Linked DNA regions of Xenopus tropicalis. The protein of the gene in region 1 purifies or fractionates together with the protein of each later gene. This does not show direct contact. Links are inferred from orthologs where the notes say so. Each region holds a gene or a part of one and is shown on either strand. Other genes may lie near its edges. The genes, in order: adrb2 and usp33.

Region 1 (4,378 bases):
GGGAATTCTTTAGTGTTCTGGGACCTGTAGTTCAACAACAGCTGAAAGGCCTGCCGAGTGAGTTTTTTGGGCCACATCACCACAAAAGCTACTACGGCAATGGGGTGATCTAAGTAGCCCCTTGCCCCCCTGGTACCACTAATATGTGCCAAAAGCAAAACTCTCACTTAATAATTACCTAGGTGGCAAGTTATTTCAGTACACTCACATACAATATAGCAGCTCTATTTTCTCTGTACTTTTTGCAAGTTTACTCTGCACTGAAGAAGAATTTGAACATATCTTTTATGACAGCTGTAGATACAATTACTATACATAGTCCGAAGGTTTATTGCCGACTTCTTTTCTTCCCATACATACAGTATATGCCCATGGGCTCTGCTCTTGGCTGCAGTGCAACAATTAGAAGAAAGCAGAGGTGCAACAATTAGCAGTATGGGGCCACCATAGTCTTCACCCTCCCTGCTCTGATTATTGCTTTGCCCTTGGGAATGGGTTAGCTGGTTGCAGCATGCCTTCATAGCTGCAACTCTGTACATAAATTACAGTTCTGACTGTTTTTAGTGTTTAAATGATTGACGTTGTTTCCTATTCTGTTCACTGCCCTTACCCATTAGCGCATAGTGCCACAATAGCCTCTGCAATGCAGAATAGGTGTTGCACAGATATCAGATACACTGGGCAAAAGAATGACAAGAAATAAATCATAAATAAAATACAAGTAGTAGCTGGTTATGTGACGCTTAAGGGTGAAGACACACAGAGCTACTAGTATATATACTAAAGTAGACAATGCTGATCATTTACTGATAATTGGCTGTACCTGTGTTTTAGCAGAGGCAATTCTCAGTATTGTCCATGGGAGGGTATTTTCTGGCGTTTAGTAGCTGTGAAAAAGAAGCTGCGACTAGTAGCTCTGTGTGTCTTCACCCTAAAGCAGGGGGATATGTAACACAAGCTATCCAACTAATCAATGGTGGGAATTGTACCTAAACATCAAACTTTGGACATAGCTAAACATCTGCCAATCGCAGAAAGAGTCCAGTAATGTCCAGTCAGCCCCAGTAGCTGTAGAATTCGAACTCTCGGGGGATACCAGGGGCTGTACTTGTACATCAGCAACTGATTAGATGCACTGCCGTGCAACTTCGAGCCCACCCTGCTTAAAGCCTGTAAGTGGCACCGTTTGATCCGCCGTGCAGTATAGCGCAGTATAGCGCAGCTAACTATTAGCGCAGGCAACTTCCGAAAGGAAAAGAGAAAGGCAGCGACCAGCCGGTGTTACGCGGTATCCCGCTCTTGCTCTCCGGGGATTGGCTGGAGCCCGTTGTGACGTAAGGGCGGGTGTTAATAAAAGAAAGCAGGCGAGCCCACAGCCCAGAATCAGAAGAGACTCTCAGGAGAGAGAGGTAGTTCCATGTCTAACGCCCCACAAACAGGACGGGCACAAATGAACGACACCGGGCAACTCCGCCTCCCCCATGGCTAAATGCGCTGGATATACGCGGGGCAGGAGTACTTTCAGCGCTGCGTGTCACACCCAACCGACTCCTAACAAGTGGAAGTAAAGTCAAAGGGACTGCAAAGCTATGGAACAGCGGGTCACCGCCAGCCCCTACCCTAACAGCACCCTCGAACAGCTGGTCTCCAACGTCTCCAACACTAGCAACGCCAGCGATAAGCCCGGGGATGCGTGGATGGTGGGCATGGGCATAATCATGTCTTGCATCGTGTTGGTGATTGTGCTCGGCAACGTGTTGGTGATCACTGCCATAGCCAAGTTCCAGAGGCTGCAGACGGTCACCAACTACTTCATCACGTCTTTAGCCTGTGCGGACCTGCTGATGGGGCTGATAGTGGTGCCCTTCGGAGCGAGTTCCATCATCCTGGACACTTGGGTTTTCAATAACTTCTGGTGCGAGTTCTGGACATCAGTGGATATCCTTTGCGTCACTGCCAGCATAGAGACCCTTTGCGTCATTGCAGTGGATAGGTACTTCGCCATTACCTCTCCATTCAGGTATCAGAGCCTCCTGACCAAGTGCAAAGCCAGGATTGTCATCCTGCTGGTGTGGGTGGTGTCCACACTTACCTCTTTCCTCCCCATCTACATGCACTGGTATAGGATAGAGGAGGAGAGTGCCTTGCATTGCTATGATGACCCCTCCTGTTGTTTTTTCTTCACCAACCCTGCTTATGCCATCTCCTCTTCCATCATCTCCTTCTACTTACCTCTGGTGGTCATGATTTTTGTCTACGCAAGGGTCTTCCAGGAGGCCAAAAAACAACTAAAGAAAATAGACAAAAGCGAGGGAAGGTTCCACAACCAGAATAACCAACAGGACACCAATGGTAAGCAAGGAAATAAAAGGACCTCAAAGTTTTGGTTGAAGGAGCACAAGGCACTGAAGACTTTGGGGATAATAATGGGCACTTTTACTTTGTGTTGGCTCCCCTTTTTTATAGTCAACATTGTCCAGGTGATGCACAAAGACTTTATCCCTGTCAAAGTTTACAACTTCTTGAACTGGGTGGGATATGTCAACTCTGCCTTTAACCCGTTAATCTACTGCAGGAGCCCAGATTTCAGATACACTTTTCAGGAGCTGCTGTGCTTAAGGAAACCGGGCTCCAAAGCCTATGCCAATGGGTACCCCCAGAGCAATGGGAACAGTGCATACAACGAAGACACAGAACCTTGTCAGTATTCTAAAGACAGGACTTGTGAAGTTTTATTTAAAGAGGAGAAAACTCCCAATCCCTCCCTTTTGAACTGTGAAGGTACTCTTCTAGATTTTAGCTTGGAACCACTGGGCAAGAATCATAACACGCATGATTGCTTATTATAGGATTGTCGATTTTTTTTTAATATTTGAACTATTACAACAAACTGGATTATTGCAATACAAGGGTCAACCAGATATCCGAATGTATAATACAAAGGAAAATGTTTTTATATGTATATTATATATGTATATTTTGCAGAAGGGCAGTGCCCATGTCTTGCAGAATGTATAAATTTATTATGAGAAAATGTACATTTCTGTCTATTTTCAGTTCCTCTTAAATTAAGGTAAGAGATCTTTTGTTATAATGTAATGGCTTTTATATTTTTATGTTGCTGCCCTGTGTACTTTACTGAAGAAAAATCTACCTCAAACCCTTAAAAAAAAATTGAATTCTAAGTTCAAGAATTCTGAAACTTAAAAAAAAAAAATCTTGCTTTTTCCCCCCTTTTCTACCCCTTAATAATACAAAAAACAGCTGCTGTTGGCGGAAGGGACAGGGTTAATTCTACTTTCCTTGAGATAGCTCTCCTGAGTAATGATGGGGTTAATGTGCTGAGCTTAATATTTTGAACTTTTGAAATTGCAAAAGTTGGGTTGTGAGAGATAGGAAAACGTATATTCTGTATAAGACTGATGAAAACTGTGTGTTGCAACCAGGAGAGACCCTTGGGGGTCATTCAGCATAGGTGCAAAAAGGCACAATTGCAGTAACCTATAGCAACCAGCTTTGGTTGGTCGTGTTTTGCAAGCTGCTGTGAAACCATGTAAAATAATATCAGAATAGTTGCTATAGTTACCACCATTGTGTACTTTTGCACCTGTAAATAAATTCTTTTTTTTCATGGTTTCTCAGGGAGGAAATGCAGTAAAAAAAAAAAAAAAAGTCGCAGAGCTAACTCAATACATTTCCAGCCACCCTTTTAGGTTTGTGCCAATCTTTGCATTCCCCTTTAACCCCTCTGTTGCAGGTTGGAAAGTGGCACTTTTTATAAGCAATTTGACATTTGCAGTGACTGTCACGTATACTGGAGCCTCTAACCAAAAGTGTATTTTAAGGATAGAAGGGTTAAAGGTCTAACTTAGTTCATCTAATTTTAGCAGTGAAGTCCAAAGTTGAGTGGAGGACCCATCCCCTTCTTGATGGCAAACTAATCTGTTTTTTCGGTGAGCCCAGCCTCCTAGATCCCTATTTGCGAGATAAATGAGTCCTTGTCTCCTAGATGGGGCAGAACAGATGTTCCTACTGCTGTTCTGTAGTGTCTGATCTCTGGCTGAAACCAAGTCCTGTCAGGGTAATTAATCAGTTATCTCTGGGTTATGAGCAAAATATGGGGCTTTCCAGATGTGACTGCACTACAGTGCTCAGCAGTTGCCCATGACAGTGGTAGGATTCTGAGAGTTGTAGTTCAGCAGCACTTAAAGACAAGCTTGCGGGTTGTTTCCTCTTGTCTCTTCAATGATTCTACTCAGTATAGATTTAATGGGGTATGTTTAGGCATAAACTAGGAAACCACAGACGAAGGAAGTAAAGCAGAGGCTCATTCATAAATAAGAATATAAAAACAAAATAGTTGATAGGCTACAGACAC
Region 2 (3,821 bases), on another chromosome or scaffold:
GGAATGTAGGCTTGTGGATTAATTCTACTGTTGGTTAAAGATTTTTTTTTTTTTTACAATTACACTGTTCTGATGTGACTTTAAAAGTGCCAGACAACTGAAAATGATTTTATTTTTATGGTGATCACACTATTACTGAACAAGTGTTTACTTCTTTTCAGTGCAAATATAACTGTAAACTGCTTCACAGATGAACTAAACAAATAAATACAGTCTAAGAAAAGGAAACTGTAAACAAGGGTTTTATTGTGACGGATAGCTCTTTAAATAACTTCATTAATGGGTGCTAATGGTTATCAAACCTCCAAAGATACCAATAAAAGTATGGATTCAGCTGAACCCTTAATTTAGGGTTTGGATTCTTTTCTATACGGTTTGTGAAAAACAAATGTGTGTCTTGCAGAGAGAAGCTGCTGTTTCTTTAGATTGCAGATTTAATAATTTGCTAACAGTAGATATTTTTTGTAACTCTAGGTGTACCTCCACGTAAGGCAAGCTTTATTGAAGATCTTGTTGTCATGCTTCCTCAGAACATATGGGATTATTTATATAGCAGGTATGGCCTTTGTCCATAGTAAATTCTGTTTATATTATTGTATTTGACATGTAACGATGGTGCAATCTGCCATTTTGTTTTTATTTTGCACACTATTCCTGCATTGTGTTCCTTGCAACTTCCTTTTTGGGCTCAGGCACCTGAATTGAAGGCTGCCTGCATTAGGCAGCCCTTGATCCAACAGAGGGAAACCCATACGTAGGCCTCCCTTAAAGCAGGTGGTAAGGACAGGGCTGCTTCACCTCCACCGAGCTCCAGATTTCTGATCTGGCATTCAGTGCAGAGACCAGCAATCTACATGTATAGCTGTATTGCAAAAAAAAAAAAAAAAAAAAGTTAAGTTAAAAATCATTTTTTTCAAACAGGGTGATTAGATGTGTGGGTTAATAACGTGGTACCTTATGTTCACATCCTCAGATTATGCATATGGAAGCTGCAGTGACAAATTTAGGAAAAAAGCAATATGATTTTTATGCTTGAAGTAAATGCTTGAAAAGAGATTGCTCATATATACATTTTTTTGTTAGGCTAAATGTTTGTAACTGCTTTAAAAATAGGTTCTGATCTTCTAGATCAGTGCTGTCCAACTGGCGGCCCGCGGGCCGCCCTCTGTGTGGCCCCCCACCTGTCTGGCTGCTTTGATGGTTTACCCATGGGGCAGGGAGGGTATGGCACAAACAGGCAGCATAGGGCAGGGAGGGTATGGCACAAACAGGCAGCATAGGACAGGGAAGGTATTGAACACACAGGCAGGGTAGGGCAGAGTATGGCACACACAGGGAGGGTAGGGCAGAGTATGGCACACACAGGGAGGGTAGGGCAGAGTATGGCACACACAGGCAGCATATGGCAGGCCAAGTATGGCACACACAGGCAGGGTAGGGCAGAGTATGGCACACACAGGCAGCATATGGCACACACAGGCATCATAGGGCAGGCAGAGTATGGCACACACAGGTAGCGTAGGGCAGGCAGAGTGCTACCCTATGCTGCCTGTGGGAGGTGAACCTGGCAGGGGTTTGTTCTGGGAGTTTGTTAGAAGTTGGAAATAGCCAGTAAATGGTCCCTAAGGTGTGTAATTATGTACTGGGGGTTGCTGTGCTATCCACAGGGGAGGAGAAGTCATATGGATTTTAGGGTGTGTCTTAATATGACATATATGACAATATAATTCTTTCACATATGAATGATGGTTGATATCCCTGCAGTGAGGACCAAGCATTTGGGTTTTTGCTGCACTACCACCATTGTGATAAAATGGGTGTGGTTTCAAGTGGGTGTGGTTTAAAAGGGGGGAGTGGCTTCCATTAGCGGCCCTCCACCATGTATGCGCGAGAAATTCCGGCCCTCTGCACAGCAGAAGTTGGACAGCACTGTTCTAGATGCAAGGTTTGGTCACATAAAGAAATATATGCATACAGATACCATGTTTTGGTTTAATTTCAGAAGACTATTGCATGCATTTGCAAGTGTAGATGTCGAATTCCAGCCGCCAAGTGAATGTTTTGTCTTAAAGGGGATCTAAACCCAAAAAATGAATTGATGTAAACTTACATCTCTGAGTACTATTGCATTTTACACTTTTATTATAGTCAGCAACCCTAGGAAGTGCTAAATTCAAGAAGTGCATAGAGTTTTCTATCACTGACTCTTAAAATGTTTAAAATGTTGAATGTCTCAGAAACTACTTAAAACAGAAACAAAATGCAATTTGTAAAAGTGCTCAGAGGTCCTTTCTAATTAATTCTGCACAGAATAATATTTAGGGGTTTAAAGTTTTGTTTTTTCTTTCTTGGTGGACTTTTTTCACTTACTCAAGGGAAAATGCATTTGCAGTCACACACCATAGACATTTGGTATCATACTTGCTACCTTGGCTCTGCTAATTTCTACCATCTGACACAACAGGAGCCTTAAGAGACCATCTGAGAAGTAGTTAGTTGCTGTCCATCTTAGTGCATTTTCTCTTTTATACAATGGTGAATAATATAGAAAACATTCTTTAGTACATTGGATGCAAGGATTCAGGACTAGGCTATGAGTAATTTGTTACAGTGTTCACACAATGCTGAAACATTTTGTACATAGACTCAGTTGTCCCCTGAAATGGTACATATGAGAACTGGACTCATTTACAGTGGACATATCTTCACAAATGTTGTAACTCATAAAAAGCACAATATACTTTAAACAATGGAGCATATAGAGAAGATTTGCCTATTCTTTACTTAGCGTGTCTTCTAAAAAAAACTTTTTTTGTGATGTAGATATGGTGGTGGTCCAGCTGTAAATCATCTCTATGTTTGCTACACCTGCCAAACAGAAATGGAGAAAATAGAAAAGAGACGTAAAATGGAGCTTGAGACATTCATTCGGGTATTTGCTTTCTCTTATTTTTTTTCATATAATCTCAATAATCTCCTAACCCCATCCCTATCTCTAGTTTTGGAAGGTTGAGTGAAGCATAACCTTAAACCAGGAAACATGTGCTACATTATATGATACCTTATATCAGTGATCCCCAACCAGTAGCTTGTGAGCAACATGTTGCTCACCAACCCCTTGGATGTTGCTCCCAGTGGCCTCAAAGCAGGTGCTAATTTTTTGAATACTTGGCTTGGAGGCAAGTTTTGGTTGCATAAAACCCAGTGTAAAGTCAAAGAGAGCCTTTTATAGGCTGCCAGTCCACATAGGGGCTACCAAATAGCCAATCATAGCCCTTATTTGGCACCTCCAGGTACCGTTTTCATGCTTGTGTGTTATGCTACACACTGTATATAAAATTAAGCTCCCCTGGCTGTTAAGGGCAGAAGGCTAGGCAGAATGGCAAAATCTTATTTTACTGAAGTAGGAAGTGTCTCTTGTCATTACCCTGTTCCATTCTGTTGTTCATTTTGACAGCTTGAGGTGCATTCTGAGTAGGGTATGAAGCTTCTGTTGTTGTTGATCCATGTAATTACTAATGTATCAAACTGTCTTACTGATGTTCTACTATTAACTATGGATTAAAAAATTGTAAAAACTGTAGAGCTGCATAATATAGTTAAATATATTAGAATATTAACTATTAGAAGAATAACTAGATTAATAAGAATAACTAGATTAGAAGAATAACTAGATAGATTGCAGACTGTGGTGGAAAAATTGTTTTTCTAAATCACAGTAAGGTTTATGGCACGCCGGGAGATTTAAGATATTTCACATTTTCAGGTATTTAAAAATGTTGCCAAGTTCCCTTAAAATAAGAATGTAAAAAATCAAAAAT

The links.
Region 2: the proteins of adrb2 (region 1) and usp33 purify together in Homo sapiens (affinity purification with western blotting; 3 studies listed by BioGRID and IntAct, with this or other methods). This does not show direct contact. The link is inferred for Xenopus tropicalis from reciprocal best matches to the Homo sapiens genes ADRB2 and USP33.

The regions. Positions count from the first base shown.
Region 1 is NC_030679.2:41,027,307-41,031,684, reverse strand, and holds the start of adrb2 (beta-2 adrenergic receptor), read left to right. Parts: upstream 1-1,379; 5' UTR 1,380-1,589; coding exon 1,590-2,849; 3' UTR 2,850-4,378. UniProt on the Homo sapiens protein: Beta-adrenergic receptors mediate the catecholamine-induced activation of adenylate cyclase through the action of G proteins. The beta-2-adrenergic receptor binds epinephrine with an approximately 30-fold greater affinity than it does norepinephrine.
Region 2 is NC_030680.2:80,353,819-80,357,639, forward strand, and holds part of usp33 (ubiquitin carboxyl-terminal hydrolase 33), read left to right. Parts: intron 1-474; coding exon 475-556; intron 557-2,823; coding exon 2,824-2,932; intron 2,933-3,821. UniProt on the Homo sapiens protein: Deubiquitinating enzyme involved in various processes such as centrosome duplication, cellular migration and beta-2 adrenergic receptor/ADRB2 recycling.